Sus scrofa: one gene and its partners. The protein of the gene in region 4 interacts with the protein of the main gene of each other region in a biochemical or structural test. Links are inferred from orthologs where the notes say so. Each region holds a gene or a part of one and is shown on either strand. Other genes may lie near its edges. The genes, in order: RNF125, RNF135, TRIM25 and DDX58.

Region 1 (8,142 bases), on a different chromosome or scaffold from region 4:
AAGCTGTGATGGTTAGTCTTATGTATCAACTTAGCTGGCCTATAGTTCTCCGTTGTTTAATCCAACATTTAAGTGTTTCTGTGAAGGTATTTTTGTAGCTGTTGTTAACATCTATAATCAGTTGATTTTAGAGAGGCTATCCTCAATAATGTAAATCAACTCCTTAAAATCAATCTCTCTTTTTCTTTCTCTCTCTCTCTCCATAAATATGTATAACCTACATATGGGTTATTTCTCTGGATAACTCTCACTGATAGAATATGTATAAGTAATAAATATCTATAATAAATAATAGGATAAGAAGCTTTAATCTTAGGTTTAAAAAGAAGTCTTTGGGATTGCACATCCATAAGAATGACAGCTCTGTGGGTGCTGGAAATAAAATGAGTGAAAGGGGTCCAAAGGCACAAACTTTAAGTTATAAAATAAATAAGTCATGGGATGTAATATACAGCACGGTGACTACAGTTAATAATACTGTATTGCTTATTTGGAAGACACTGAAGAGAGTAGATCTTAAAAGTTATGATCACAAGAAACAAAAATTTTGCATAATTCTCTTGTGGCTCAGTGGGTTAAGGATCTGGCATTGTCACTGATGTGGTTCTGGTGACAGCTGTGGCCAGGGGTTCGATCCCTGGCCCAGGAACTTCTGCATACTGCAGAAATGGCCAAAAAAAAAAAAAAAAAGGAGAGAGAAAGAAAAATTTTGTAACCATGTATTCTGACCAATGTTAACTAGACTGTTGGTGATCATTTTGCAAGATTTACCAAAATATTTACCATATGTTACACACATGAAACAAATATAATGCTGTAGGAGTTCCTGTCATGGCACAGTGGTTAACGAATTGGACTAGGAACCATGAGGTTGCGAGTTTGATCCCTGGCCTTACTCAGTGGGTTAAGGATCCAGCCTTGTCGTGAGCTGTGGTGTGTAGGTTGCAGACACAGCTCGGATCCCGAGTTGCGGTGGCTCTGGCGTAGGCCAGTGGCTACAGTTCTGATTGGACCCCTAGCCTGGGAATCTCCATATGCCATGGGAGGGGGCCTAGAAAAGGCAAAAAGACAAAAAAAAAAAAAAAAAAAAAAAAGAATGAAAGCACTGATGTGTATTACTGGATCAGTTTAAAAGCATCAGGAAACCTTCAGACTCTACTTAGAGAACTACTAATTTGGTCCTCATACTTGGCCACAAATGGAACATTTTAATCCATTTACCCAAAAGCATTTCAGAATTATCCTCGTTTCATTTAAAATATTAGGCAAATTCTGTGACTTCGAGCAACTCGACCCAACTCAGTTCAATGGAGATGTGGTTCTCTGTACAGAATGGTTTGCTCCAGTTTGTACGGAGCTCTCTTAGGCCCATTCTCAACCTCTTGACCCTTTTCAGAAACTCCCTTAGTTCTAGTCCTGACCTCCTTCCCCATCCCACTTTCCCAGTGCCTTGGGGGTACTTCCATTTAGATGTCTCCCTATCAGACTTCTGTACATTCAATACGCTTAATTGTTGAGTTCATTAATGATTTAGGAATCCTGAGCTAAACTCTGCCCCCTTTGGCTCAGTCTTTGACTTTTTTCTACCTCTGCATCTACCAATTGGACACCGAATTTCTTTAAACATTTCTTTCAAATGTAAATCAGATTTCCTTTAAGTTTTATTTAGACAGTTTCAACTCATCTACCCCCTCTTTCCCCAGCTCACTGATAAGACTGCTGCCCCCCAAATCTAGTTTTACAACTGATATGCGATGAGAATAACGTCAGTTTGAAATGATGGAACATTAAAATGGAACTTCCTCAAGTCCACTAAAGGAAAAAAGAACCAAGCTAAAAGTAAGGCTATGAGGGACATCTTGGAAATGTCAGAGATCTCTGGTTTTGGCCCAGTTTTATTCCCAAAAGAACAAAAAGATAAGAAATAATATCGATTCATGGGTTTCCTTGTTTTAGGAAAAGACTTTGATGGAGACAGAGACTATGTTTTGAGTCTTACTATAGGCGTTTTAAGTATTCATAAAAATTCCATTACCCACCTTATTTTACAAATAAAGAAACTGAGATTCAAAAAGACCAAGCAATGTGGTGGTTACACAGCTAGTTAGTGGTGGGGTTGATTTTCAGACTTTGCTCTCTATCACGCCCGCTGATTTACTACATCGCAATCCATATATACATATTCATTCAAGGTACCGTGGCCATTACACTTGCTTGACTTGAATAGGTTTATAATTAGCTTATATATGAGATAACACAGAGGTTCATTTGCATTTCCTCATTTTCCAATTAAGTTCAGTGGAAGAAAGTAATTCATTTAGGAAGGACAAATGGTGTTAAAGAGAGCCCACTATCTCCAGTGCAGAAGGGACTCTAGTTAACATTTGTAAAGTGGAAGGGGCCCAAGTAAGTTTGCCAAAAGGAGGAATATGGAAATCCTGCCTACGGCCAGAACAATGGACATAGATTTGTCAAAACAAAGAACAGTAAAGTGAGGGAAGGCAATTTATCCAGCCCTTGTTGTGCTTGCTACTTCATGACTATTTTTCCAGTTGCTAGTTTCCTATTCATTCTAACAAAGAAAAAGACCAAACAAAAGATTTAACATTTTGCAAATTTATATTACCCTTTAGCAGAAGCAAAACAATGCAAACAAGTTATAAGCATTCAAAATCCAAACCAGGGAAAACAATCAGATAACAATCTCCAGTTGCAAAGCTACCCAATTGTCTCTGGTACAACTTAAAAGTTTTAACACTAATCTAGACTAAATTTAAATGTAGTTATCCTGAGGTTCTTTCTGACCTGAGCTAATCAATGTATTTCATACCCTACACAATGACATCTTGGCTTCCTGTCTTGGCCTTGGGGAATTATGTCAATGAGCTACATCTGGACAGCTGGGCAACATCAGTAATCAGACAGGAGGTAAATTAGTCTTGAGTTTAAAGTACAAAGCTGAAACAACAGGCCCTGAAAATACAGCCACAAAATAATGCTCAGGGTACTCTTTCTTTAAACATTGTGTGGGCTGCAGATTTTTTTCTCTCTGGCTTTCTTCTGGGCTTTTCAGTGTTAAAAACTGCTTCTCAGTTGCTTAGGCTATAGGTGTCAAGGACCACCTAGATCCCTTAAAGATATTTTGTGCACTTGCATTTATAATATGATACTTCTTTTTTTCCTGGTAAGCCAAAAAGTGCTTATTAGCATTAGGATACTGCCTTGGAGCGTCACCAAACTAGTCCGCGGGCCAAAGAAGACATTGGGTAAGTTTTCACTTTTGCTCTACGCAATCCCTCCCCCCACAAGTCACCCTCACACATTCAGGCACACACAAATTCACAGACCCAACTCCCACTAGTATTTATTCAGGCACACATTAACACATTAAGGACGTGCCAATTTTACACAGGGATTTTGTTTTTAAACTCTTCCTAGAAACTACCACGGTTGTGCACTAACAGCGAATTTTAGTTAAAGAGTATGCATGTGGTTTTTAAGACAGTTATTTTTATCTCTACTTCCTACCGATGTGGGAGGCGGTGCGCAAGGCAGGTAGTCTGTTGCAACCTCCGCCACTTGGTTACTTGGGTTTTAAACGGCTCCATTCCCCGGTTTGAGGGGTAAGGTTCAAGCCCCAGACCCCACCCTGGAGGGCTGTTAAGCTCTAACCACTACAGAAAGTCACTTGGACGGTCCAGTTTGATGATTTTTGAGGGATTTGGGTGTCTGAGTTGGGAAAAGGGAGGTGGGGAAGGAAGGACAGAGGCCCCCCCCCCCTTTTTTTCTCATGAGACCTCAGCGGGCGTTCTGGAACACGTGCACAGAGCCCGCAAAACAAAACCAACCTGGGTTCTGGGCGGAGAAGGAAGAACCTCGGATTAACTGAGTTGAGCGCGATAACTGCTCTGAGGGAGTCCTCCGCCTTGGGCCCAGGAGGGTGCTGCTTCTCCAGCAAGCTCATCCTCCGCGGCAGGCGAGCCCTGGCTCCCCGCGGCTCGCGCGCCCGGATTCCCCATCTCGGGGTCTCCGCACCTGGACTTCAGGAGGAGCCGGCTCTAGGGGGCTGCCTGTTGCTGTTTTCTCCTCCTGAAACCCTGTGTCACCTTCTGCCTTATCCCATGAACCGCATCCGACGGGTCCAGGTCTCTTCCTGCAGCAGTTTCCTTCAAGCTTTGTATTCTGGAACCACCCTTCCTCCCTCCCATCCCACCGCTTCCCTAACATCGCTCTCCCCAAGGGATGGGCGTGCCAACCCAGATTCCCTGGCACTTACACGTGGCCACAGCGGGTCCGGACGGGATGGTGCAACACTTCGAGGCATACGGAGCAGTCGAAGGACGTGACGGGCAGCGCGGGGTCCCCCCTGCGCTCCAGGGCCCGTGGGGTGGCCGAGGCGGGCGCGGATTTTCCGTTGTCGCTGCTCAGCACCGACCCCATTGCTGCGCCTCCCGCCCAGCCAGCGGCCAAGAGCTTGGTGCCTGCTGCCTGCTTGTTTTGTTGTCCAGCGGTGGAGGAAGGAAGTCCCGGCCCAGCTGCGATCGCCGCCTCCCAGCGCGCCCAGCCAGTGCAGCTCAGAAGCAGCCTCCGCCGCGGCGCCGAGTGCGCGGCCGCGCGTCTGAGACTAGCTTTTGCCAGCTGCCTTAGTTGAGGCGTGGAGGCGGAGGCGGCCGCCGCACATTGCACGCTGCGACGTCCCGGGCCCCTGGGAGGATTGAAACCTGACACCTCAACTGCAGAGCAGAGGACCTGGTAAGGCAGTGAACCTTCCAGCCAAGTGCGCGCATCCTTCTTCGAACCACTGTAGGAAGTGAATGAAAGAGCGGGCGTGGTCATGTGCGCAGGGAATCAGAGCACATCCACTTGTAAGGTGATGGCCCTATCAGTGCTGTACTGTTGTGATCATAAGAGGCTACAGAGCTGAGCTATGAGCGTCTTCTAAGAAAGTGCTCATCAGTGCTTCAGTCACCTAATGAACAATCCATAAAGGAGAGGTAGCTGCAGTAGTGGAGAGAGTTCTGGGACCTGGACTCGAATCCCAACCCCAGGGCAGGGATGCTAGTGCCAAATCCTAGGACCCCTCCTACTCCCGCCCCCGGCCCAGTTTCCTCACCTTAGGATCGCCTGATGTTGTTTGTATTCCCCTCTCCATCCTCCTGAATACGACCAAATATATCATTTATTAATTCACTCATTTAATAAGACTTATTTAGTGCCCGCTGTATGCCAGACTCCTTTCTGGTGAAGTGGACAGTTTCCAACAAGCAAACAAAAGCCCAGTCTTAACAGACCTTAAAAAGATTTTTTTTGGAGGTAATTATAGATTCACACTCTTATTGTAAAAAATAATCTGGAGTTCCCGTCGTGGCTCAGCGGAAGCGAATTCCACTAGGAACCATGAGGTTGCGGCTTCCATCCCCGGCCTCGCTCAGAGAGTTAAAAATCCGGCGTTGCCGTGAGCTGTGGTGTAGATCGCAGCGGCGGCGGCTCGGATGTGGCGTTGCTGTGGCTTAGGCGGGTGGCTACAATTCCAATTAGACCCCTAGCCCTGGGAATCTCCATATGCTGCGGGTGCAGCTCGCAAAAGACAATAATAATAATAATAATCGTCCGTGGTAATACATAATCTACGTAGGCAATATACACAGACCATAATACATAACAATCCGATAAACTTCACCCAGTTTTTCCCAGACTTTACTTTTAATGAAAAGATATCAGTAATCAACAAATAAACAAGTGAACAAGTTCATTTCAGATGATAAGAGCCAAGAAGATAAAACAGAGTGAGGGGGGTAAAGGATAAGACTGTCAGGGAAGGCTTTTTGGATGCAGTGACATTTTAGCAGAGTTATGAATAATGAAAAGGAGTCGGCCACTCATAGATTTAGGAAGAAGCCTGCCAAGCATTGGAATATGGAGCCAGGCAAGAACACCACTAACAAAAGCCAGAAAGAAGCAGAGACGGGGCCTAATCTACCCCCCAATCCTACACAGGGTAGGACCAAGAATTTGGGTTTTATTCCAGGTGCTGTGATTTGATTTACTCTGACTGCAGTGTGGTTTGGAAAAGACAGGAACAAGAATGGAAGCAGAGAAACCAGTTAGGAGGCTACTGAATTAGTCCAAGGGAGGATAATAATGACCAGAACCAGGGAGTTACCTGGGTAGCACAAGAAAGATAGACAGGTTTTGGGGTATATTAAGAAGAAGACTTAAAATGGCTTGCTGATAAATTGGATAGGAGTGAAGGAAAGATAGCAATTCCTATCTGTAAAAGATAAGCAAAATCCCTCCCTTAATCCCACATTTCCCTCAGGTCTTGCTCTGTGTCTTCTTTAAGGCCAAATTTCTTTTTCGTCTTTTTAGGGCTGTACCCACAGCATATGGAGGGTCCTTGGCTAGGGGTCAAATTAGAACTGTAGCTGCCAGCCTCCACCACAGCCGCACGGAATCCCGAGCTATGTCTGTGACCTACACCGAAGCTCATGGCAATACCGGATCCTTAACCCACTGAGTAAGGCCGGGATCAAACCCAAGTCCTCATGGATACTAGTCGGATTCGTTACCACTGAGCCATTATGGGAACTCCTAAGGCCAAATTTCTTGACCTGATTCTCTCCTTTTATGTTTTCTTTTTTTCTTTCTTTTCTTTCTTTCTTTCTTTTTTTTTTTTTTTTTTTATGGCCACACCCAATGCATATGGAAGTTCCCTGGGCCAGGGATTGGAATCCAAGCCGTAGCTGTGACCTACCTTGTAGCAACACTGGCTGGTTTAACCCACTGCACTGGGCTGGGAATTGAATCTAAGCCACTGCAGTGACCTGAGCTGCTGCAGCTGGATTCTTAACCTACTGTGCCAGAGTGGAAACTCCTATGTCTTCATTTCTTAATTACCCCCCTCCTTCCTTATGCAGTCCATCCTGTGTTCTGGAGTGACCACTCTACCTTCATCTGTCCAAAAACTGATCACCAACATCACCAGTGGGTGACCTTTATGTGGCTAAATCCTACAGGCTCTTTTTTGTCCCTTTCTTGCTCAACCTCTCAATTATATGCATCGGTGTTGACCACTCCCTCTTGTAGAAACATGATTTGGCTCTTCTTCACTCTTTCTGGCTGTTCTTTCTCAGTCTCCTTCACTGGCCTCCTCTGTTCCATGAAAAAGCTAAGTGCTGGAGATCATGGGATTCTCTCTTGGGACCTTTTTCCTTCTGATCACTCATTCCCTGCTTAAGAATCTCAAAAATCACACAGACTCTGTTACCATCTAGATTCCAAAATCTTTATCTTTTCTCTAGACATCCAAATGCTCAGCTTCTTACTTGATATAATCACCTGGTTGCTTCAGGCACCTTCAGTTGAACATGCCCAATGCTGTACTCATGAGAGTAACTTCCCACCTGTTCCACATCCAGTTGTTTATTCCTGTCTTAGTAAATGGCACCATAATCTGCCTAAGTAGCTCAGTCCAGACACCTGGGAGCCATCTTTGATTTCTTCTTCTTCTTCTTCATACACATTGAATCAATCCCAATCAACAGTTGCAATTCTACCACCCATGTATCTCTCAATTGTTCTTGAATTGTTTCATTTTTCTCTATTCCCAGGACCAGCTACCAGTTTATTTATTTACTTATTTTTTTCTTTTTCTTTTTATGGCCGCACCTGCAGCATTTGGAAGCTCCTGGGCCAGGGGTCAAATCGGAGCTGCAGCTGCCATCCTACACCACAGCCACAGCAACACCAGAGCCGAGCTTCATCTGTGGCCTACACTGCAGATTATAGTAATGACAGATCCTTAACCCACTGAGTGAGGCCAGGGATCAAACCTCACAATCCTCACAAACACCAGTCATATTCTTAACCTGCTGAGACATAACGGGAATTCCAAGCTACCACTTACTTTAAGTCACTGTGTTCTCTTGTGTAACATGTTGCAATGATTCCTATCTGCTCCACTTGCAAGCACTATTGCCACTGTCCAATCTATTATCCACCTTGCAACTAAAGTGATCTTTTTCTTTTCTTTCCTTCTTTCTTTTTATTTGGCCACTCCCACAGCATGCAGAAGTTCCCTGATCAGAAATTCCCTGATTAGGCCCAAGCCACTGAGCCACAGCAGTGACCCAAGCCACAGCA
Region 2 (7,523 bases), on a different chromosome or scaffold from region 4:
TTCCTAAGTAAGTTTGGGTTTTTCCAAATCTAATTAGGTTCTCAAAATACGTGCCTTGAAAAACAACCTGGAAAAATACATACTGGAGCCAAGATATTAAAGAATGGCTATTTCTGGGTGGTGGGCTATAGACAATTTTTATTTGTTTTCTTAAACTGCTATGTATTTTCTAGTATCTTCTACAACAGATATGAATTTCTCCATTCATATCCCAAAAAAGTTTAAACTTTTTAGGTGCGACTTTTTCATCCTTTTGTTTGTTTGTTTGTTTGGTAGCACCCATGGCCTGGAATCAAACCCATGCCATAGCAGCGACCCAAGCTGCAGTGACAATACCAGATCTTCAACCTACTGAGCCCAAAGGAAGTCCTAGACCTGTCTTACAGGGGCTTTACAAAATAAGTAGTACAGATGGCCACTAAGATAAGCCTCAGAGGCCAAAATAATCTTCCCTGGACTGCTGCTGTCATTATATGATAACTCTTCCCAAGGGCCAACACAGACATGTTGCCTGCAACCAGGCCCCGATCTCTGGGGCCTCCAACACGATGCACTCCCTGAGTTTCTTTCTTTCTTTCTTTCTTTTTTTTTTAATGGCCACACCTGTAGCTTATGGAAGTTCCCAGGCCACAGCCGCAGCTGCACTGGATCTGAGCCACACCTGTGACTTACACCACAGCTTGCAGCAACACTGGGTACTTAATCCACTGAGTGAAGCTGGAGATCGAACCCACATCCTCACCGACATCATGTTAGGTTCTTAACCGGCTGAGCCCCAGTGGGAACTCCTCCCTGCTTTTTCTTTAACTTCAGGTTCTATGATTCCCCAGCACAGCCCCTCACCTGCTCACCACCTTCCCGCCTTGCGCATGAGACTTTCTTTCTCAACTTTGCAAAATCCATTTCCCTGAGGCATAAGGAGATTCCCAGGCTAGGGGTCGAATCAGAGCTGTAGCCGCTGGCCTACACCACAGCCACAGTAATACCAGATCTGAGCCGTGTCTGCGACCTACATCACAGCTCATAGCAACCCACTGAGGGAAGGCCAAGGATTGAACCTGCCACCTCTTGGTTCCTAGTCAGATTCGTTTCTACTGGGCCATGACAGGAGCTCCCCGTTTCCCATTCTTTTCACCAATCATAACAAGCATAGGCATCGTCTCTTGAGTATTTTCCACTGCTCCCCTCTAATTTGCCTAACAGCCTTCCAAGATAGGTTCACTGTCTCCACTTTACAAAAGAAGTTCATGGAAGTTAACTAAATTGCCAAAGTGAATTTGATCATCCCTCATTCCCATGTTGCTCAAGTACTTTTTTAAACAAGATTTTTAAAAATCTCTGCATCAAACTAATGAGGTGCTGGCCATGGATCATTGTTTTTGTTTTATAGGTAGAAACCTGAGACTTGGGAGTTCCCTGGTGGCTCAGCAGGCTAAGGATCCAGTATTGTCACTGCTGTGGTTTGGGTTGCTGCTGTGACACAGGTTCAGTCCCTGGCCTGGGGACTTGTGTATGCTGTGAGAAAGAAGGAAGGAAGGAAAGAAAGAAAGGAGGGAGGAGGGAGGGGAGGAAGGAGGGGAGGAAGGAGGGGAGGGGAGGAGGAAGAAAGAAACCTGAGACTCAAAAAGATGAAATGACTTGCCCAAGGTCATACCACGAGTGAGCTGCAAAGTCACAACTGACAGTCAGACTCTCAGACCTCTACCACAACACCTTGTATCCCTAAGGACCCGTTTATTCACTCATTCAAATATCGTGGGTATTTGCTGAGCACTTACTATGTGCCAAGCACTGTGCTGGGCTTGGGAAAACAAGGGCGAACGAAAAAATAAGTGCCATCAAGGTCTCTACCCTCATAAAGCTTAAAGTCCCATGCAAGGGAGGAAGGATGAAAGACATTAATAAATTATGACACCAGAGTTCCCATCATGGCTCAGTGGTTAACGAACCCGACTAGCATCCAGGAGGACATGGGTTCAAACGCTGGCCTCGCACAGTGGGTTGAGGATCTGGTGTTGCCATGAACTGTGGTGTAGGTCCAAGATGCAGCTCAGATCTGGCGTTGCTGTGGCTGTGGTGTAGGCTGGCGGCTACAGCTCCAATTCAGCCCCTAGCCTGGGAACCTCCATATGCCACCAGTGCGGCCCTAAAAGACAAAAAGACCAAAAAATAAAAATAAGAATAAAATAAATTATGACACCAATCATTCATTATCAAGTCACAACTGTGACAGATGAAAGGTCCATGGAATCACATACATAAGAGCCTCTAATGGGGGATTTGACTTGTTCAAGGAATCAGTGAAGGCATCTCCTAAGAATTGATAATTTAGCTGAGGTCCAAATATGGAGCAGGCATTACCTACGTAAGAGCGTAAAAGAAAAGCATTCCCAGAGCGCCCGTTGTGGTGCAGTGGAAACAATCTGACTAGGAACCAGGAGGTTGCAGGTCTAATCCCTGGCCTCGCTCAGTGGGTTAAGGGTCTGGCGTGGCCATGAGCCGTGGTGTAGGTTGCAGACGTGGATCTGGCATTGCCGTGGCTGTGACGCAGGCCAGCAGCTGCAGCTCCGATTTGACCCCTAGCCTGGGAACTTCCATCTGCCGCGAGTGTGGCCCTAAAAAAAAAAAATTGTGGGGATAAAGAAAAGAATGGAGTTGCGAAAAGAAGCAGGCTCACAGATATAGAGAACGAACTAGTGGTTACCAGTGGGGAGAGGGGAGTGGAAGGTACAAGCCACCGAGAGTGAGAAAGGCTGTTCCCCATCCTTGTACAACATGAAGAGTATAGCCAGTATTTTGTAATAACTATAGATGGAGTATAACCTTTTACAATTACGCAAAAACATAAACAAAAATTTTTTTAAAGAAAGCAGCTGTGGTGGACTATGTCACAGTCTATTGAAAGGCCAATGAGGATAAGAGCTGGAATGTCCGGGGGATTTGCATGGAGGTCACTGGAGACCTTAGAGCTGGTTAAGGTGGCAAGATAAGGATGGGACTTGGCCCTCCTGGCATTCCCCTAGCTCTCCTCAAGCATTCCACATCCCCAACCATCCACGTTCCCATGAAGAGCATGGCAAACGTTTGGGACTCACTGCATCCTTCACCTGCAAACATTTCTGTTGCTCCCTAGCCATGCCAGCGGGCTGTCCTTGGCCCCGCCCCCTGGGCCATTCTTTCTTCTCCCAGATGAGCCTACCGAAGCCAGGGTCCTCAGGTCCTTGTCTGGTTCGGATTCTGGGAGGCAGCTCTGGCTCTGAAGGCTCCTGACAGTATCTACAAGCTGGTCCACCAGCTCTGCCAGCTCCCGGCCAACTTCTGTGATGCTCTTCTGCGCCGCCACCTTTAAAAGAGCAAAGCAGAATAGATGCAAACTATTGCCTTTGGTGTGGATAAGCAATGAGATCCTGCTGTATAGCCCAGGGAACTATATCTAGTCCCTTATGATGAAGCATGATGGAAGATGATGTAAGAAAAAAGAATGTATACATATGTGTGACTGGGTCACTTTGCAGTACAGGAGAAATTGACAGAACACTGTAAACCAAATCTAATGGAAAAAATAAAAATCCTTAAACATAGAACAAAGCAGAACACAAAGCTGGACTCAGGAACCAACTATAGATGGAGGGAGCTACAACACTGGATAAAGGAAGCAGACAAAGAAGTAACAAAAATGGGGAGTGGGGTGGGAGTGAGGCATGAGGGGAAGCCTAGGGGTCCTTTTGAACAGGAGGAGACAGAGAGGAACCACTGCGAGAGCCCAGCGACTCGGCAGCACGTGTGGCAGGTCATCAGGTGAGTGGGTTTCAGCATCTGGTTAAAGTTTAAGCTCCGCCCTCACCTCTGACTCATCCCGTGTCTTCATCGTGCCTTTCAGAACTGAACGCCACCATCCCTCCTTCTCTTCGACAGTGAGAAGGATCTATGGGGAAGGATCTTGGAGCCTTTAAAGTGAAGTACAGCTGCAAGCTCTTCGTGTTTGTTTATTGCCATCCTTCACATTTAAAGAGACGTTCAGATGGGAACGCTCAGCGACACCCATTCAAGAGCTTAATCTGCTCAGCTGCCTGGGGGGAGTGGGAGGACGTTTCGTGGCCAACATAGTCTGGCAACAAGCTCAGGACCTGGTGACAGTCATCAGAGGCAGGCAGGGCCCAAGAATTTGTATTACCTCCAAAGGGGGTCTGATGTAGAGCCACCCAACTCTAAATAAACCGGAGTTTTGATAACTTTGGGAGGACATTTTTTAAATTATGCTGGAACCTGGAAAACTGGAACCAGAACCTTTTTCATCTCTAAGAAGCACCAATGTCCCTCAAAATGGCATGTGTTTTGGAAGCCACATGCATACTATTTTATAGAGGGAGGTGGCTAACTACCAGTAATGAGGTTTGCTGTTAAATGTCCACGTCTCCTAAATATTCAGGCAGTTGGAACTCAGGAGTGGAGCCCTTATCTAGGTACACGAGCAAATTAAAATTTAAAAAAAAAAAAAAGTGTGTTGCTTTCTCTATCCGTAAAAGAAAGGGCACACTCATTGAGGTGAATTTAGAAAATGCAGAGAATGTGAAAGAATAAATTTTGTTTGTCTGTTTGTTTTGCTTTTTAGGGCCGCACCCGTGGCATATGGAGGTTCCCAGGCTAGGTGTCCAATCAGAGCTACAGCTGCCAGCCTACCCCACAGCTCACAGCAATGCCAGATCCTTAACCCACTGAGCAAGGCCAGGGATTGAACCCACAACCTCATGGCTCCCAGTTGGATTCATTTCTGCTGTGCCACAATGGGAACTTCAGAAGAAATGTTTTAAATCATCCAATGTCCTACCATCCATAGACAATCATTTTAACTTAAAAGCCAATTGAAAGTATATTCAATCATTATAAACTACATTAGTAAGAATTTTAAGGACCTGAGGGACAATACTATATTTATAATCAAAAAGAAAAGAACAGTTTTATTCATAACTAAAAAATAAATAAAACAGAAGCAACCAACGTGTCTATCAAAAGGTGAATGAATAAGCTATGGTAAATCTATGCAATGGAATATTTTACAGCAATAAAAAGAAATGAGCGATCAAGCCCCAAACCTTAATTGTGATTAGTGAAAGAAGCCAACCTGCAAAAACTAGATCCTTTATGATTCCAATGATGACAGTCCGGAAAAGGCAAAACTAAAGAGATATCATAAAAAATCAGTGAACGCCAGGGGTTGGGGTGGAGGATACACAGAGCATAGGGGATTTTCAAGGCAGTACAACTGTGTGATACTATAATTGTAGATATATGACTCCATGCACTGAGTCAAACCCCATAGGCCTGTTCAATGAATGTACCAAACTAATGCAAAATATTAATAATAAGGGAAAATGTCAGGAGTATGAGGGGACTTTCTGCTCAATTTTCTGAAAATCTAGAACTGCCTCTTTTTTTTTTTTTTTTTTTTTTTTTTGCTTTTTAAGGCCATGGCATATGGAAGTTCCCAGGCTAGGAGTCAAACGGGAGCTACAGCTGCCAGCCTGCTCCACAGCCACAGCAACTTTCAGGGATCTGAACCACATCTACAACCAACACTACAGCTCATGCCAATGCTGGATCCTTAACCCACTGAGCAAGACCAGGGATTGAACATGCATCTTCTTGGATACTAGTCAGATTTGTTCCCACTGCGACACAACAGGAAATCCCTAGAACTGCTTTAAAAAATAAAGTCTAGGTGTTCCCGTCATGGCACAGCAGAAACGAATCTGACTAGGAACCACGAGGTTGTGGGTTCGATCCCTGGCCTTGCTCAGGGGGTTAAGGATCTGGCGTTGCCATGAGCTGTGGTGTAGGTCAAAGACTCGGCTCAGATCTGGCATTACTGTGGCTCTGGCGTAGGCTGGTGGCTACAGCTCCAATTCGACCCCTAGTCTGGGAACCTCCATATGCCGTGGGAGCGGCCCAAGAGATAGCAAAAAAAAAAAAAAGACAAATAAATAAATAAAATAACATCTATTAATTTTTGAAAAAGAGGAGTGGGCAGCTCTAAGCTCTTTTACCCTGACTCCCCACTAATCCCCACTCCTCCACCCCCCTACACACACACACACACACACACACACACACACTGCAAAACAAGCAGAAACTGTCAGAACCAACTCTGTTGGAACTCTGGAAAACACTTAACCAACAAAGAGCAATCTGGTAGGAGGAACGCTTTGCAGTGTTTTGACACGCCTTTGCCGTGCTCTGTCCCTAGTTCAATGAAAGTTCTCAGTGAAATCCCAGTCCTGGTTCTCAGAGCGGGAGAGTCTACTTTTATTTTATTCACACATCATTGTGTAGGTTTGTCCTAACCTGGCTGGGGACTACCTGAAGCAAGGACACAGGGTGCTCACCTTTGTTTTACTTAACTTGGAGCTGGGACAGAAAGGGGGCGGGCATTCCTCAAGTGCTGCAAGCTGAGCTAAACTTGGAGGTGTCTGGGACAAAAGACTTGACTGAAACAGACAACAGACCTAAGCCCTAGAAGCAAACAGGCCAGGAGCAAGCAGACCTTAGTCCCAGGAGCAAAAGTTAGGGAAAATTGGAATCCTCCCACTTTGATAATGGGAATGCCAATTGCTGTTGTTGCCTGGGATGCAGTTTGGCTGTTCGCCAATAAGTTAAACATAGAATTACCATACGACCTAGCAATTCCATTCCTACCCAAAAGAACTGAAAATAGGAACTGGGATACTTGTGCACCAATGTTCACTGCCACATCACCAACAATAACCTGAAGGTAAAAACAATCCGAATGTCCACTGATGCAGAGTGGATTTTTTAAAATGTGGTATAATTATACAAGGGAATTATTCTTCAGCCACAAAAAGGAACGAAGTTCAGATCTATGCTACGACGTAAATGAATCTTGAAAACATAACCGCACGTGAAAGAAGCCAAAGCCAGAAACAAAGGGACAAATACGGCACGATTCCACTTGTACCAAATACCTAGAGTAGGCAAATTCATAGACACAGATTGTAGATTAGAGGTTACCAGGGCCTGAAGGGAAAGAGAGTGAGAAGTTATTGCTTTATGGGGGCAGAGTTTCTGTTTGTGGTGATGTAAGTTTTGGAACTAGAAAGTGGTGGTAGTTGCAGAGTATTGTAAATATACTGCCACTGAACTGCACATTTTAAAATGGCTAAACGGCAAATTTTATGCTATGTGACATAAACATATTTTACCACAATAAAAAATTATCAGAGAGAGGGATAGGCTACAGAAAGAGGAAATAAGTGGAAATACGCCAGGGTGTATAGCACGTAGTTGATAGGATCTCAGATGCTGAATTTTTTTTCTCCTTCATATTTTTCTGAGCTTTCCAAAGAACGATTTCTACGTTTAGACTGAGAAAAGCAATGTGAGAGCAGAAAGGACCAGGAAGAGAGGAAGTGCGCAGGGAGAACCAGGAAGCAGGCGGCGCGGGCGGCCAGAAGGCAGAGGGCAGCAGCGGGTCCCCCTCCCTACCCGCAGCTGCGCGGTGTGGCACC
Region 3 (8,264 bases), on a different chromosome or scaffold from region 4:
CCAGGGACCACCCCGAGTCTACCCCACAGATGTTTCCACGTCTTGACTGTTGTAGCTTTTTTTTGGAGGGGGGGAACATTCTCATATTTACCCCCCTCCCTTCATCCTTTCTGGGGGCCAGGACAATAAAGAAGTTACAAGCATAGGATTTGGAGCCAGACAGTCTAGACTCCCAGCTATCCAGCTGCCTCCCACCTATGTCCTTGGCCATGAAACAGATGCAACTGTTTCCACCCTGCAGGGCTAGTAGGGGGATTATCTGAGGCCGTAGCACAGCACCTAGATCTACAAGGACAAATGTCCTTAGTAAATCTCAGCTTGGGTTATTCTGGGCTTCTCCGCAGATGATGAAACTGAGGAAAGAAGACAGCAAGGTGCCCAAGCTCACAGAGACAGAATGAGCTGGGACAGCTGCTTCAGTGAGGGGCAGAGGAGGGTGTTCAAACCAACCCTCCCACTGCAAACAGCCAGAAAGGCAGACACAATATGGGGGGAGGGGGTCCTACTAAAAACCAGTGAGGAGCTAACAAAGCAGGGAAGGATTATGTGATAAGATCCAAGAAGGAGTTCCCACTGGGGCTCAGTGAAAACGCATCGGACTAGGAACCATGAGGTTGCGGGTTCAATACCTGGCCTCACTCAGTGGGTTAAGGATCTGGTGTTGCCGTGAGCTATGGTGTAGGTCGCAGACGTGGCTTGGATCGTGCGTTGCTATGGCTGTGGTCTAGGCCAGAGGCTAGAGCTCCGATTCGACCCCTAGCCTGGGAACCTCCATATGCCGTGGGTGCGGCCCTAAAAAGACAAAAAAAAAAAAATCCAAGAGAAGGAAACCCAGAGATAAGCCTGGCCTCGGGGGTTGTTCTCCCAGAACCACCTGCTCGTTCCGATGTCAGCCTCAGAGAGGCAGGGAGACACAAATCAGAGTCCAAAGCTCACTTGTAAGGGCCACAGGCAGGGAGGGCTACACCATAGGAATAAGGATGAAGCGGCAGAAGACCGGCTCACCAACAGCTCAATCCCTGAAACTGAATTAAGGGGATTCAGCATCGCTGCTAAGCCCCTAGCCACCTTCAGATACAAAGGTAGATTATGCAAGATGGAAGTTAATACTATCTGAAGCCTCTTAGTATTTCCATAAATTTCCATAATCAGTATCTGAATTTCACCCTTCTCAGGCAAAATGTTGGGGCATAGAACTGAGTAGGAAAATCACCACCACAATAATGGCAGCTAATGTTTATCATGTACTTACTCCAAGCCAGGCATTGTTCTCGGTTTTCCACATATTAACTATGTAAAGCTAAAAACAACACGAGGAGGTAAGGGTTATCCATCCTTTATAGATGATCACTGAAGCACAGAGTATTTAAGTGGCTTGCCCCAGGTCACATCGCGATTCATGGGTGTTACAATTACAGACTCATGTCCAAACTAAGCACACGGGAAATTTCTAGGGAAAAAAATATATGTTCCCTAACAGGCTGGCTCAACAATACTCTGGCCCTCTCTTCCATTTCATGGCCTTTCCCACTCCACCAGAGCTCTGCAGGGCTGAACCTGACCTTGACTCTTGAACAACCCAGTGACAGTCACATGTAACAGCTGGAAGAGACCAAGGCCAACCTAATTCAACCCAAAAGCCCAAGTCACTGATGACATTTCAGATGTGACCTCTGTAACAGTGTGCTTTGACCTGGCCTCTAACAGTGGCCAAGATAAACTATTGGCCAAAGGCAGAAGGTCAGGCCCAGGAGTTCCCATGGTGGCGCCGTGGTAATGAACCCCACTGGTATTCAAGAGGACACAGGTTCGATCCCTGGCCTTGCTCAGTGGGTTAAGGATCCGGTGTTGCCATGAGCTGTGGTATAGGTCGCAGACATGGCTGGGATCCTGTGTGGCTATGGCTGTGGCGTAGGCCAGCAGCTGCAGCTCCGCTTCCACCCATACCTGGGAACTTCCATAAACCACAGGTGTGGCCGTTAAAAAAAAAAGGTCAGGCCCAGGAAGATCTGGTCTCACTGGTCTTGGAGTTGGAAGAGACCTCAGGACACCTGGGAGCTACCAACGGTTTCACCTCCAAGACCCACTGTTAGCAAGACCCTGAACTTATTATTCTGAAAGATTTTGCCCACCATTAATCAACTGTATACAACAGTCCCCTGATGGTAGACGGCTATAGACAAAAAGAAAGCCGCCAAGATGTTGATAGCAGCGACAATGCCCGAATCAAGGGAAGGGGATTTTTCGAAGTTCTGAGGATCCCTTCACAAACTGGGGATTTGATGCCTCGATGTGGGACCCAGAGGCCCGAGTCCACCCCGCACCAGTGACTGAGCCAAGCTGGGCCGGCTTTGGCTCCACCACCAGTACGGACCAGCAGTAGGGCTGGAAAAGGAGAGGGTTAAAGGTCACAGCCAGCTAGGACACTGGGAGGTAGTGGAGGTGGGGGGAGGGGGCGGGTGGCAGAGGAAGGCCTGTGACAAGGATTAAAAAGCCAAGCGTGTAGGGCACACAAATAATCCAGTGACAGACTCCAGCTCCAGACCCTGCAGGCTGAGGAAGCTGAGGCTCCACACCAGGCTGAGAAGGGCCTTTCTGCCCCTACTTGCCTTCTGCCTCCTAGACAAAAACTTCTAGAAGGGCTCTTCTTTTTTTTTTTTTAGGGCCACACCAGGAGCATACGGAAGTTCTCAGGCTGGGGGTCTAATTGGAGCTGTAGCTGCTGGCCTGCACCACAGCCACAGCAATGCCAGATCCGAGCCACATCTGCGACCTACCCCACAGCTCATGGCAACGCCAGATCTTTAACCCACTGAGTAAGGCCAGGGATCGAACCCATGTCCTCATGGATACTAGCTGGATTCGTTACTGCTAAGCCATGACCGGAACTTCCTAGAAGGCCACTCCACAGGAGCCGGGTTGCCCTAGAACTCAGGCTCACACACCCTGAGGCAAAGAGGATCCAGGCAGCCTGACACCGTCCACACAGCAAACTCTCTTCCGGGCATTTCTGAGCAGCTTAAACGATAACGGCAGCTCTACAAAGCATTCACTGTAAAACGCAGCTTATGGGTCGCCTCATTCAATCCTCCCGGTAGCCTTCTGAGATAGGTATTGCTATTGGCCCCTTTTATGAGTTCCCAGCTAGGAAGCAGAGCCAGAATCCAAACCCAGGTCTCAACATCCAGCTCTGGTCACAGCCCATGTTAAGCAGCCTGACCCGTAGGGCCTGCCTACAAAGCACTTCCCACACAGCTCAAGACGACCCAAAACAGGGGAGGGAATGCTAGGAATCCCATTTTACAGATGAAGAAACTGAGGCTCAGAGAACGACAGGGACTTGCCCTGAACCACCGCTAGCAGGGCAGAGCAGGGCTCCAGGCTCCAAAGACCAGCCAGGGTCTTCCCTGCAGCAGGTGGAGACCTGGGTGGGCCAGACCTGAGATGACTGTACCTCCAAAGTCACCGGCCAGGCACTGCCTGAGGCCTGGTTCCTGGGACTCAGGGAGAAAGTCCACAGGAACCCAGGGCAGACTGGAGAAGCAGACCAGGCCAGGGGTGGGCTGTGGCCAGTTGGGAGCAAGGCCTGCACCCAGGTCCTGGTGCCACAGGGCTTATATCTCCTTTGCCAGCATAAGGACAGCCCTTCTTGCTCCCCTTAACAAGTCCTCATGAGAGAAAGGAAATCAGGCCTCACTTTTGAGCTTAGATAACAAAACTTTGCCTACACCTTTTCAGCCTCTGCCTTGAGTCCACAGGGAGAAATTATGATCCCAAAACCACTGAAAGCATCACAGATCCAAAAGCCCTCTTAAGAATCCACCTGGCCCCACCTCCTCGCTTTAGGAATGAAGACCAATCCCGGACTGAAAAGTGGCCAGGCAGGAGAGAGGGCTCTATGGCGCAAGAGTCTGGCTCTCCCTGTGCATCATATCCAAGAATTCCTGGGACGCTGCCCACCCTTCCACTCAACACGATCCTCCCTGGTCACTAGAAGTCTCTGGCTCACCAAAGGCTTTTTCGCACATGACCCCCAACAAACCTCCAGAAGTGTCTCACACTCTGAATGTTGCGGACTTGGTTTTGAGGCTGGTCCATGGGGAGAAAAGGCAACTGTGGAGGCAGCCCAGATGGCAGCTCAATTCCCCCTTGGCCACTTGGGTTAGCTCAGGCTAAATGACCTTCTCTGAACCTCCACTTCCTCAGCTGTAAAATGGAACTCATGGTACCCACCTCCCAGGTGCTATCAGGATTTATTGAGAGAACAGAGGTAACCTCCAGCACTATATCTGACCTTCAAAACCCTCTTCTAAACATCATCAGACAAGTGCTAGGCTTAAGGCAAGCATGAGTCTTCAGTGGTTCCCTTTGTAAAATGGGTGAGTGGGGTGGGCATAGGGGAGGTGAACCCGGAATGAGAGGAAGTTTGTACCTTCTCCCAGCCCCTTTCTACCCTGAAACCCCCAAGCCCCTGCCCCATCTCAGGCCCAGCAAGGCCCCTCCCTCGCCCCGGGGTGATCCAAGGTAGCCCACTGTGGTGCCCTCTGCACAACCCAGTAGCCCCAGGCTGCCCCTCTGTGCCCTGGGCCACCACTCCTACCTCCAGGTCGGTGCTGGCCTGGCTCAGGGGTGCAGGCGAGCAGGTCTTGTGCTCCACCAGGCAGACGTGGCAGATGCACTCGCTGTGCTCAGGGCAGAAGAAGTCTCGAAGCCGGTTGTGCTGGGGGCACTTGCGGCGCATCAGGTCTCGGACTGGCGGCTGCAGCGGGTGGTCCCGGAAGGCGGGGCTGTCGAGGTGCGGCCTCAGGTGTTCCTGGCAGAAGGAGGCCATGCACACGAGACAAGTCTTGACGGCGGTCGCCTGTAGGCAGTGGTCACAGGCCACTTGGCCGGCCGGGCTGGAGGCGGCGGCGCGGGCGGGCGGCGTCCAGCCATCGCTGTCGAGGACCGCGGGCCGGGCTTGCTCGGCCTGCAGGAACTGCTCCACCACCGCGCACAAAACGGTGTTCTTGCGCAGCTGCGGCCGCGTCTCGTAGCCCGTGCGACACTGCGGGCACAGGTACGGCGGGCCCTGGACGGCCCACGTCTCATCCAGGCACAACCCGCAGAAGTTGTGGCCGCACGGCGTGGTGACCGGCACCTTGAAGGGCTCCAGGCAGATGGAGCATGACAGCTCCTCGGCCAGGGGGCACAGTTCCGCCATGGCGCTCCGTGAGGGGACCCGACGTGACGCGCGGGAACTGCCGCGACTGCTGCGCTATCGCCCCGATGCCTCCAAGGAAACGAAACTGAGCTGCAGGAGGGGCGGTCCCCCGGCCTTTCAGGAAGTCACGTGGGGTAGGGTGGGGTTGAGCGCGGAGGTGGAACGGGCCCCATGGGGTCCCGGGGCGGGCGGGGTCCAGGGGTCGCTGAGGTCCGACTGGCGACGTTCGAATCCCGGTGGCTCCCGCGGAGTGTGGGTACGGGGCGCTGGGCTCAGGGTTTCAGACGAGACTCTGGACCACCAGGGGGGATCTTACGGCCCCTCTGCGGATGAGAAAACTGACACGTTGCGTGGAGAACCCGGGATCCCAGCAGTCAGGGGACTGACTACAGCACAAACGCGCCTGGATCTGATCCGTTCCTTCCGAAAACTCGTCCAGACCCAAGTTGTCCCACCGCCCCCGCGAGCAAGGCTGTCTCATCAAGACAGGTCTTTCAAAAATAACTGTGGGAACAGTAAAGTATTCGCTGCCTTTTCTTATTTAAAAAAACCCCATCCTTCCTCTTCCCTGGTCCTGGGCTCTGGCATATCGGCCTTCAATCTCTGCAGGCAGGGTCACACCCGGGGGTAATGTCAGTAGAATCTGTAGTAATCACCGCTCTCTCATTCCTGATCTAAGTAATCTGGGTTTCCCTTCTTTTCTTAAGCCATCTAATAGATTTTATGGATTTTATTAATTTTTTCCAAAAATCCAACTTTTGGCTTCTCTGCTCTTTTTTTCATTGATTTCTTCTCATGTCTCTTATTTCCTTCTATTTACTTTTGGTTTAATTTGCTCTTTTTCAAATTCGTTAAGTTGGCACATTGGATCGCTGCTGTTAAACTTTTTTCTTTTCTAATATAAATGTTTACAACTATAAATCTAGATTGTCAATCTCCCTTGGCCTGCAGAAGTTACAGCGCCAGGGACTGAATCTGCACCACAGCTCTGACAACGCCAGATCTTTACCCTGCTGCACCACCCAGGAACTCCATCCACAAGTTTTGATATATGTGTTTTCATTATCATTTCACTCAAAATATTTTTTTTTTTTTTTTTTTTTTTTTTTTTGCCTTTTCTAGGGCTGCTCCCGAGGCATGTGGAGATTCCCACCCAGGCTAGGGGTCGAATCGGAGCCGTAGCCTCTGCCTCCGCCAGAGCCACAGCAACGCGGGATCCGAGACGCGTCTGCAACCTACACCACAGCTCACGGCAAGGCTGGATCCTTAACCCACTGAGCAAAGCCAGGGATCGAACCCTCAACCTCATGGTTCCTAGTCGGGTTTGTTAACCACTGTGCCACGACGGGAACTCCCACTCAAAATATTTTCTAATTTCCTTTGTTATTTATTTGTAATTACTTATAAGGAGATGGCTTCATTTCCAAATATTTAACACTTTCCTGGGTATCTTACTGTTACTGATTTCTAACACAATTCTATTTGAGCCAGCTCTACGACCTAAGATGTTTGTCTTTTGAAATAGGTTGAGACTGACAGGATGTTAATATCTCCGATATGATAACAGCTTGTCTCCTTCTCACTTTGTATTTGTGCCCCCTCCCCAAGTATTATAAGCTTTGTTATTAGGCACTATTATGCCCTGAATTGTATCCTCCCAAAATATATGTTCAAGTCCTAACCCCTGGTATCTGTAAATATGACCCTATTTGAAAATAGTTTTGCTGTTGTAATCAATTAAGATGGAAAATGCCATCTGGAGACAAACACAGATGACACCGAAGGCAGAGCTGTAGCTGCAAGCCAAGGGACACCAAAGATCACTGGAAAATCATTATAAGCTGGGAAATGTTGGAGACCACGGAACAGCAGAACTCTGCAGAAGGCAAATATCTATGGACTCAGAGTTTTAAGTACAGAGTCTCCTTCAAAGACAAGGTGAAGGACTTATGCATTAACCATGTTATTCTATAAACAGCTCCACTATGTCCTAAGGCTACCCCCTTTGCTATTACTAAGATGAGAATCTCGTTATTGCCAATGCCTCTCTCTGCCCACTAATCTTGTCACCTTTCTTAATCCCCTTAATAATAATAATCTCATCACCTTCCTTAATAAAAATCATGTGGGCTAAAGCCTAGGCGCCTCTGTTCTACGGAACGGAGTGCCCCCTGGTCCCCCACTTTCTAAATGTAAGAGTCTTGTGTGTTCTGTTTATATCACGCTGTCCCTCTTCTCTTCCAGGATTCCCCGTTTCCCTGCAGCGCTGGATGCAGCAAGGAAAAAGCAAGAAAGATTTTCCTGCAGGTCCCAGAGGAAGCATGGCCCTCTGACACCTTGATTTCAGACTTTTAGCCTCTAGAACTGTGAGAGAATAAATTTCTGTTTTAAGTCTCCTTGTTTGTGGTGCTTTGTTATAGCAACCCTAGGAAATTATTTATTTATTTATTTATTTATTTATTTTATCTTTTTGCCATTTCTTGGGCCGCTCCCTCAGCATATGGAGGTTCCCAGGCTAGGGGTCAAATCGGAGCTGTAGCCCCTGGCCTACACCCCAGCCACAGTAACGAGGGATCCGAGGCGAGTCTGCAATCCATACCACAGCTCACAGCAATGCCAGATCCTTAACCCACTGAGCAAGGCCAGGGATCGAACCCGCAACGTCATGGTTCCTAGTTGGATTCATTAACCACTGAGCTGCGATGGGAACTCCAACCCTAGGAAATTAATACAAGTACACACACATCACAGATTTGATATATTTCTTATTAAAAGTCGCCCCTTATCTCTCACAATAATCTTTCACTTAAAATCTACTTTGTGGGGAGTTCCCATCGTGGCGCAGTGGTTAACGAATCCGACTAGGAACCATGAGGTTGCGGGTTCAGTCCCTGCCCTTGCTCAGTGGGTTAACGATCCGGCGTTGCCGTGAGCTGTGGTGTAGGTTGCAGACGCGGCTCGGATCTTGCGTTGCTGTGGCTCTGGCGTAGGCCGGTGGCTACAGCTCCGATTCAACCCCTAGCGTGGGAACCTCCATATGCCTCGGAAGCGGCCCAAGAGA
Region 4 (8,190 bases):
ATAAAAATAAATAAAGTGTAAAATTCAATGGTTTTTAGAGTCGTAAATCTATCACAACTATCTGATTTTACTGCATTTTCATTACTGTAAAAAGAAATCTTGTATGCACTAACCCTTACTCCCCATTTTCCCTCCCCTTAGCCCAGGCAACCATTAATTTACTGAGTCTCTATGGATTTGCCTATTTTGGACATTTCATATGAATGGAATCGTATAGCATATGTTCTGTGTGACTGGGGTCTTTCACTTAGCACAGTTTTCAAGGTGCATGCATACTGTGTCATGTATCATTCAATCCTTTTTAATGCTGAATAATACTCCACCGTATGGATACACCAATTCTATCCATTCATCAGTTAAGAAGCATTTATGTTGTTTCTACAGCTTGTCTTTTATGAATAGTAATGCTATGAACATTCATGTACAAGTTTTTGAGTGGATATGTATTCATTGTTTTTGAGTATACATCTAGGACTGCTGGTTCCTATGGCAACTCCACATTTAGCACTGTAAGGAATTGCCAAACCATTGTTCAAAGGAGCTTTACCATTTTACCAGCGATTTATGAGGATTCCAATTTCTGCATATCCTTGCCAACACTTTTCATTGTCTGCCTATTTATTTATTTATTGCTTTTTAGGGCCACACCTGTAGCATATGGACGTTCCCAGGCTAGGGGTCGAATTGCAGCTACAGTTGTTGGCCTACGCCACAGCCACAGCAATGAGGGATCCGAGCTGTGTCTGAACCTACACCACAGCTCACAGCAATGCTGGATCCTTAACCCACTGAGTGAGGCCAGGGATCAAACCTGCATCCTCATGAGTACTAGTCGGGTTTGTAACCCACTGGGCCACATCAGGAACTCCCCTGTCTTTTTAATTTCCACCACCTATATTAGTTTCCTGTGTCTGCAGTAACAAATTGCCATAAACTGGGTGGCTAAAACAACAGTATTCTCTCAGTTCTGGAGGCTAGAGTCTGAAACCAAGGTTCTGGCAGGGCCACACTTCCTCTGAAAGCTCTAGAGGACCATATATAGTCCTTGCCCCTCCCAGCTCCTGGTAGCTGTTGGCATTCCTTGGCTTGTGGCTGTATCACTCCAATCTCTGCCTCTGTCTTCACATGGCCTTCTCTTTGTTTCTCTGTGTCTGCACATGGCAGTCTTGGTATGAAGACACCAGTCCCATTTGATCAGGAACACAGCCTACTCCAGTATGACCTCATCTTAACTAATTACCTCTGTAAAAATCCTTTTTCCAAATAAGGTCACATTCTGAGCCCTGGAGTTAGGACCTCAATATATCTTTTGGGGAGGAGGGAACAATTCAATCCATAACTGTAACCTATGTTGTCACCTATCCCGGCTTCCTTGGGCACACAATCCTACCCTGTTCCTTTGAGTGAGTTAATTCTATTCCTAAACCCAGTCCTTACAGCTGGGTTCTTGTTTCCAGGCATCCCTGCTACTTACCAGCTATTACTGGTTCTCCACATGGAGGTCTAGGTTGGTCCAGTCACAGCTGAGACTTTCCCAGGTAAGATGCCTCACCATACCCTGGTCCGTTTAGTTTCACTCTGCACATGGTTGGGCCAAGCCTGCTGCTACCTGGCCCCTATATCTGCTGCTACTAGGTTGTGCTACTTTCCTCAAAAGCACCGAGAGTTGAATGCTTGGGAACTGGCATTTGGGGCAGTCAGTATCTCCCACTCCTTTTGCCTTCCTGGCCACTCTGTGATGCCATCCTCAGCTTCCCAAGACAGAATTTATTGATCTCTTTCCTGCGCTTTCTTGCTGTCTTTCCATGCTTCTGATTGGAGTGCTAACACTGAATAGTGTAGAGTCCTCATCGAGCAGGGAGGGGGGAGGCATCCTCTCCCTTAGAGGGTGACTGTGAGCATGTTGTACTCATCTTTCTCTTCACATCATCAACAAAGTACCTGCCTCATGCATGTGTCTAGAATATGTTGCTGAGAGAATGGACAAGTGCTTAGAATACTGCCCACCAGTGCCCCTGCTGGATAAGAGTTAGGCTTGACTCCAAAGGGATGTTGCAAAAAATCTGTAACCCATACCCAGGTTTACCTTGAAACATCCTGGATAACTGTGAATAAGCCAAGCCCGAGAGCACCCCAGTAACCAAGCAAGCGCTCCGGGAAAAACATGGCTGCAGTGCTCCTTTCCCAAGAGGCCACTCATGCACAATATCCAACATGTGGAGAGAGGAATCACAGTAAGACAGTGGATGTTGTTAATGTACTTTAAATATATGGGGGGGCGGTGTTCACGGGAAACTTCTGTATGGGCATAAAAGTTCCCACTGCCTTCTAACGAAAGCAAAAAAATAAGTCAAAAAGCTTCTATCCAGCCATAATGCTCCTTAGTGTCTCTGAACCCTGAATCCTCACTGAATCCTGACTGATAAAGTATATTTGTCACAAGTAAAGTTAAAACAGAAATCAGAACTTCTAAGGCAGCCAAGAAAAAAGCAGGAGATAGAGAAACTTTATCAATCTAATAGAAAACAGAGAAAGATGGGGAGAAAGCAAAAAGTTTTTGTGATAAATTATAAAGAAAGAAGCAGGAAAGGTGTAAACTAAATGAAAACAGTTGCCTCTGGGGAAGGGCTCAAAATAAAAACTCTATGATATCTTTGACATTCAAAAATAAGGCAGTATAGGAGTTCCCCTTATGGCACAGCAGAAACAAATCTAAGAACCATGAGGTTACCGTTTCAATCCCTGGCCTCCCTCAGTGGGTTAAGGATCTGGTGTTGCCGTGAGCTGCGGTGTTCAGATCTGGTGTTGCTGTGACTAAGGTGTAGGCCGGCAGGCAGCTGTAGCTCCAATTAGACTTCTAACCTGGGAACTTCCATATGCACATGTGCGGCCCTAAAACAAAACAAAACAATAAAAGAGTATACAAAATGTTCTTCAGCTTACTTTTTTTAAACTTACCTTTGGTGTTTTTATTGTGATTGTATTATAACTATAAATTAAAATTACTATCTCTGAAAAACTACTCCACCTATGCACTCCCATAGCACACTATGGTTTTCCATCAAAGCACTCACCACACTTTACTGATTTGGTTACATGCATTCACACATGCTCTCTGCTCTCTCTCAGGACAGGAACCATTTCTATAGATCCCTCAGTTCCCAACAGAACACTTCCTATTAGACAATATGTCTAGTAATATGTGTAAATTCCCTCCAAAGCTAGCCTAATACCTGACACATGAGTTCTGGCTTATTGAATCAATACACAAGTGCATGGGAAAAAGGAAATTAATATGATTATTAGGTGTCACTCATTCCAAGGATTTCTAAAAGAGATACAGAGGTCTTGTCCAACTTAGAGTCTTCAAGGACCCAAGCTCCTCTGTGGTTATTATGATGTTATTTTGTTACTTCTCTCTAAGCACAACTAGAAAGCAAGGGTGGGGTGGTGTGGAGGGGTCCATTTATGTTGGTGGCATTCTTTCACCTCTCACTCCACAGCCTGTGGTTTGGTTTTACACAGCAGTTAGCTCTCAAGTTACCTGCCTGCTTTAATGCAATTTCCAAAAATTGCCTCACTGCAGGAAAGCTCTGTAGGGGAGCCAGATCCCCTCTCTCACCTCGACTTCTTCCAGGCACCACTGTCTCCCTCTATTCCCCAAGCCCCTGCTCACCTCACCACCATGCACTTCTACACAAATTGGTAAAATGGCCATTCTCCATCATCATGGGCCCCATGAACTACATTCAACCTGAATCGAAGCCTGGAGCCTTTCACTCCAGGGAGTCTTGCTCCTCTCAAGCTTCCAGTTACTTGCAAGTGCAAATAAGGTCCCGCAGAGTAAGCCTCAACATCCTTGGCCTTCTGACTGCACTCTGTAATCACCGTCTCCCACCTCCAAATTCTGAGACTGTAAAGTATATTAAGGAAGGACTTGTATCTTATTTCTGAATCTTTGATGTCAGCACAAAGCCTAACACACGGTAAATGGAACTATTAGGAGAAACCAATAAAACGGACAGTGACTTGTTTCCCCAGCTTCTAATGTAAACAGTTGTGCACCCCTAAGCAAGTCATTTCATTTCGTTGAGACTCAGTTTCTTGACCTCGTCGGGCACCTCAAACTCCGACAATCTCGTCTAAAATGCTGTGGAGATGTTGCCACAAACCCGGCCTTCCTAGCAAGCTCCCAGTATTGAGTGAAAAAACAGGTGAAAGCAAGAGGGAAATAAGACCTGAACTGGGTTTTTTTGCTCCAAGGGCCAGGAGCGGCTGGGAAGCACTCACCGTCCCTAAACCAGGGGGCCATGTAGCTCAGGATGAAGGTGGGGTCGAGAGTCTTCCTGACATAGTCCCCGAAAGCGTGCAGATTCCGCCGCTGCTCTGCTGTCATACTGCCGGCTCAGCTTCTGGCCGCGCCTCGTCTGCGCCTGGCTGCACTAAAGCCCGGCGAGCCGGGAGTCTCCTAAAAAGCACCCCGCGCCGGGAGGCGGAGTAGCTGAAGAACCGAGAATCGAAACTGCGACGAGTTGGGAAAGGGCGGAACCGGCCCAACCCCCGAGCCCTCACTTTCCCAGCGCGGTTTCATTTCTTCTCGGATGCGTGGTTCCCCAACCGGCGGGCGCTCGCGGATCTAGAGCGCCCCAAGAGGACCCCTGGGGATTGCTTTTTGAGGTTCATCTTCTCTTCGTTTTGCTTTTACAGCGGTCGAGATACAGTAAAATGCACAGATTTTAAGCGTACAGTTCTGAGTTTTGGCAAATGTATGCGGTGTAACCACTTTTCCCAAGTTGTGTGGGTCGGAAGGGCAGAGTCTAACTTTACAGGAAGACGTCACCTTCCAAAATGGCCGTCCAGGGGCTCATTCCCACCTGGCGTGGGGTCGACAGGTGATGCACCTACAGGAAATACACACGTGGGACAGTTTGGTGTTTGTTTGTTGGATTTGGCTTGGAGTTTTGCCATATCTGCACTCCAAATATCTTCTCCCAGGCTGTGACTTATTTTCTTAAAAGTGTCTTTTGAGGGGTTCTCATCGTGGCTCAGTGGCTAACGAATCTGACTAGCATCCATGGGGACGCAGGTTCGATCCCTACCCTCGCTCAGTGGGTTAAGGATCCTGCCGTTTCCCTGAGCTGTGGTGTAGGTCACAGGCGCCGCTCGGATCCCCCGTCACTGTGGACGCAGCTACAGCTCAGATTGGACCCCTAGCCTGGGAGCCTCTATATACCACGGATGTGGCCATAAAAGGCCGGAAAAAAAAAAAAAAAAGTGCCCTTTGAGCACAAAGATATTTATCAGTTTCTCTTTTAAGTTTTATTTATTGCCTTGGTAAATCTTTGCCTTCTCTAAAGCCATAGAGATATTCTGTTTTCCTTTAGAATCTTTGTGTTTTTAGCTTTTACACTTAGGTTATGATATCTCAGATTAATCTCATTGTGGTGTGAGCTAAGTAAGGGTCAAGGCTTCTTTTTTTCCCATACTTCTAATTGTTCCCCACAAACTATTTCATTTGTTGAAAACGTTTCCTTCTCCAGTTGAATAATAGCCTTGGCACCTTTGTCAAAAAAAGTCAATTGCCTGTATATGTGCAGGCCTATTCTGTTCTACTTATCTATTTGCTAATACTGCTTTATTTTTTTGGGTAAATATTATATTGACTATTGTGGGGTCTTTGCATTTTACTATGAAATAATCAACCTGCCAATTCCTACCCCCCCCAAAAAAAAGCATATTGGATGAACCTGGGGTGATTTGACATTTTTAACAATATTTGAATCCATGAACAATTTTTCATTTATTTCAATCTTCTTTAATTTTCTCAGCAATATCTTATAGTAGTTAGAGTACAAATCTTATACATATCTGTTAAATTTATTCTTAACTATTTTATGTTCTTTGATGCTAATGTAAATTGAATTGTTTGAGGGGTTTTTTGGTTTTTTTTTTTAGGGCCACACCCACAGCATGTGGAAATTTCCAGACTAGGGGTCTAATCAGAGCTACAGCTGCCAGGCCCACACCACAGCCACAGCAACATGAGATCCCAGCCACATCTCCTCACACCACGGCTCACTGCAATGCTGGATCCTTAACCCACTGAGCGAGGCCAGGGATGGAACCCGAATTCTCATAGTTCTTAGTAGGTTCCTTAACGACTGAGCCATGAAAGGAACTCCCTAAATTGAATTGTTTTTAAAGTTTCATTTTCAGTGTTTGTTGCTAGTACATAGAAATAAAAGGGGTTTTTGTTTCTTGGCCTTGTATTACACAATTCACTTGGATTATGCAATTCATTGATTTACTTAGCTCTAGTAATTGTTCTGTATATCTCTTAAATTTTTCTAGGTAAACAATCATGTCACTTGTGAATACCTGGTTTTATTCTTTTCAAATCTTCATGCCTTTTATTTTGTTTCCCTTCCTTAAGGCAACACCTATGGTCTCCAATAGAAAGTTGAATAAAAGTGATGAGTTGATACCCTTACCTTATTACTAATCTCAGCAGGGAAACATTCTTTAATTACAAAATTTGTAACAGAGAAGAATAAACCTGATTCCATATTGAATATACTCCTTTAGCTCTAAACGTGTGCTCTGTTGCTTGTGCTCAGCCATGCTGGCTCTGCACCAAGAGCTCCTCATACTCAAAAGAATGTTGCCTCGAGCCTGAAATATACGGGATAGCTCATTCTCAAGGTTCTGACCTTCCAAGGTAAAAAACTTCCACTCATATAGAGATAAAAAGTTGCTGCAGAGAATATAACAATATTTGCCTTGGAGGTTTATAATAACACTCTGACCAGACCTACATGGATAGCTGCAAGAACAAAGGATTCCCGCCCCAAGAAGTTTGCAACAACCAGCTACATCTCTTCTCCATTTAGTATAAAAGAAGCCTGAATTCTGACTCAGGCAAGATGGTTCTTTGGGACACCACCATCTGCTCCTTCTGCTGGCTTTCCAAATAAAGTTGCTATTCCTTGCCCCCAACTCATCTATTTATTGGCCTGTTGTGCTGCAAGGAATATGAGCTTGGACTTGGTAAACAAGTTTGCTGTTAGTTTTCTTACATACCCATTATGATACTGATGTTTTCTTGTATTCCTAGTTTGCTTGGAGTTTTTATCATGAGTGGGTGTTGAATATCTCAGCTTTTTTTTTTTTAATATATTGAGGTAATAATATATTAACATATTTAATTTCATTGATTCATTTTTTAATATTAAACCAACCTAGAATTCTTGGGATCTGGTCATGATGTAGCACACTTTAAAATTTTTTTTTTTTTTTTGTCCTTTTAGAGCTGCACTCACAGCATCTGGAGGTTCCCAGGCTAGGGGTCTAATTGGAGCTATAGCCGCAGGCCTACGCCACAGCCACAGCAATGTCAGATGCGAGCCGTGTCTGTGAACTACACCACAGTGCACAGCAACGCTGGATCCTTAACCCACTAAGCGAGGCCAGGGATCAAACCCAAAACCTCATGGTTCCTAGTCGGATTTGTTTCTGCTGTGCCACGACAGGAACTCCTTAAAAATATATTTCTGATTTAATAAGCTAATGTTTTGTATTTTATTCATAAGGAATATTGGTCTGTAGTTTTCTCTTCAGGGTTATGCTGGTCTCATAAAACAAGTTTGTTTAAGACTGGTATCATTCCTCCTTAAATATTTAACAGAATTCACCAATGAAACTACTTCATCTTAGAGTTCTATTTAAAGATTCTTTACAACAGTTTAACTTCGGAGTTCCTGCTGTGGCTCAGCAGATTAAGAACCCAACTAGTATCCATAAGGTTGCGAATTAGATCCCTGGCCTTGCTCAGTGGGTTAAGGATCCTGTGTTGCAGTGAGCTGCAGCATAGTCGAAGATGGGCTTGGATTTGGCCATGCGGTGGCTGTGGTGTAGGCTGGCAGCTGCAGTTGCAATTTGACCTCTAACCCAGGAACTTCCATATGCAGCACGTGTGGCCCTAAAAGGAATAAAGAAAATAATAATAAAAACAAGTTCAATTTCTTTACTATGAGGATATTCTGACTTTTTAACTGATGTGCAATCAGTTTCGGTAAGTTGTGTTTATCAAGGAATTTGGCCATTCCCTCTAAGTTATCAAATTTATTGGTATAAAGTTGTTCATGATATTCCTTATTTTCCCATTACCTGTTTTTAAAAAATGAGTCTTGC

The links.
Region 1: of the proteins of DDX58 (region 4) and RNF125, one has a biochemical effect on the other in vitro, tested with the Homo sapiens proteins (3 studies listed by BioGRID and IntAct, with this or other methods). The link is inferred for Sus scrofa from reciprocal best matches to the Homo sapiens genes RIGI and RNF125.
Region 2: of the proteins of DDX58 (region 4) and RNF135, one has a biochemical effect on the other in vitro, tested with the Homo sapiens proteins (6 studies listed by BioGRID, with this or other methods). The link is inferred for Sus scrofa from reciprocal best matches to the Homo sapiens genes RIGI and RNF135.
Region 3: of the proteins of DDX58 (region 4) and TRIM25, one has a biochemical effect on the other in vitro, tested with the Homo sapiens proteins (5 studies listed by BioGRID, with this or other methods). The link is inferred for Sus scrofa from reciprocal best matches to the Homo sapiens genes RIGI and TRIM25.

The regions. Positions count from the first base shown.
Region 1 is NC_010448.4:115,854,359-115,862,500, reverse strand, and holds the start of RNF125 (E3 ubiquitin-protein ligase RNF125), read right to left. Parts: upstream 4,805-8,142; 5' UTR 4,441-4,804; coding exon 4,277-4,440; intron 4,208-4,276; exon of another isoform or gene 3,965-4,207; coding exon of another isoform or gene 3,849-3,964; intron 1-3,848. UniProt on the Homo sapiens protein: E3 ubiquitin-protein ligase that mediates ubiquitination and subsequent proteasomal degradation of target proteins, such as RIGI, MAVS/IPS1, IFIH1/MDA5, JAK1 and p53/TP53.
Region 2 is NC_010454.4:42,801,032-42,808,554, forward strand, and holds part of RNF135 (E3 ubiquitin-protein ligase RNF135), read right to left. Parts: coding exon 7,501-7,523; intron 3,344-7,500; coding exon 3,200-3,343; intron 1-3,199.
Region 3 is NC_010454.4:33,207,137-33,215,400, forward strand, and holds the start of TRIM25 (E3 ubiquitin/ISG15 ligase TRIM25), read right to left. Parts: upstream 5,305-8,264; 5' UTR 5,204-5,304; coding exon 4,601-5,203; intron 1-4,600.
Region 4 is NC_010452.4:33,888,017-33,896,206, reverse strand, and holds the start of DDX58 (probable ATP-dependent RNA helicase DDX58), read right to left. Parts: upstream 4,478-8,190; 5' UTR 4,397-4,477; coding exon 4,291-4,396; intron 1-4,290.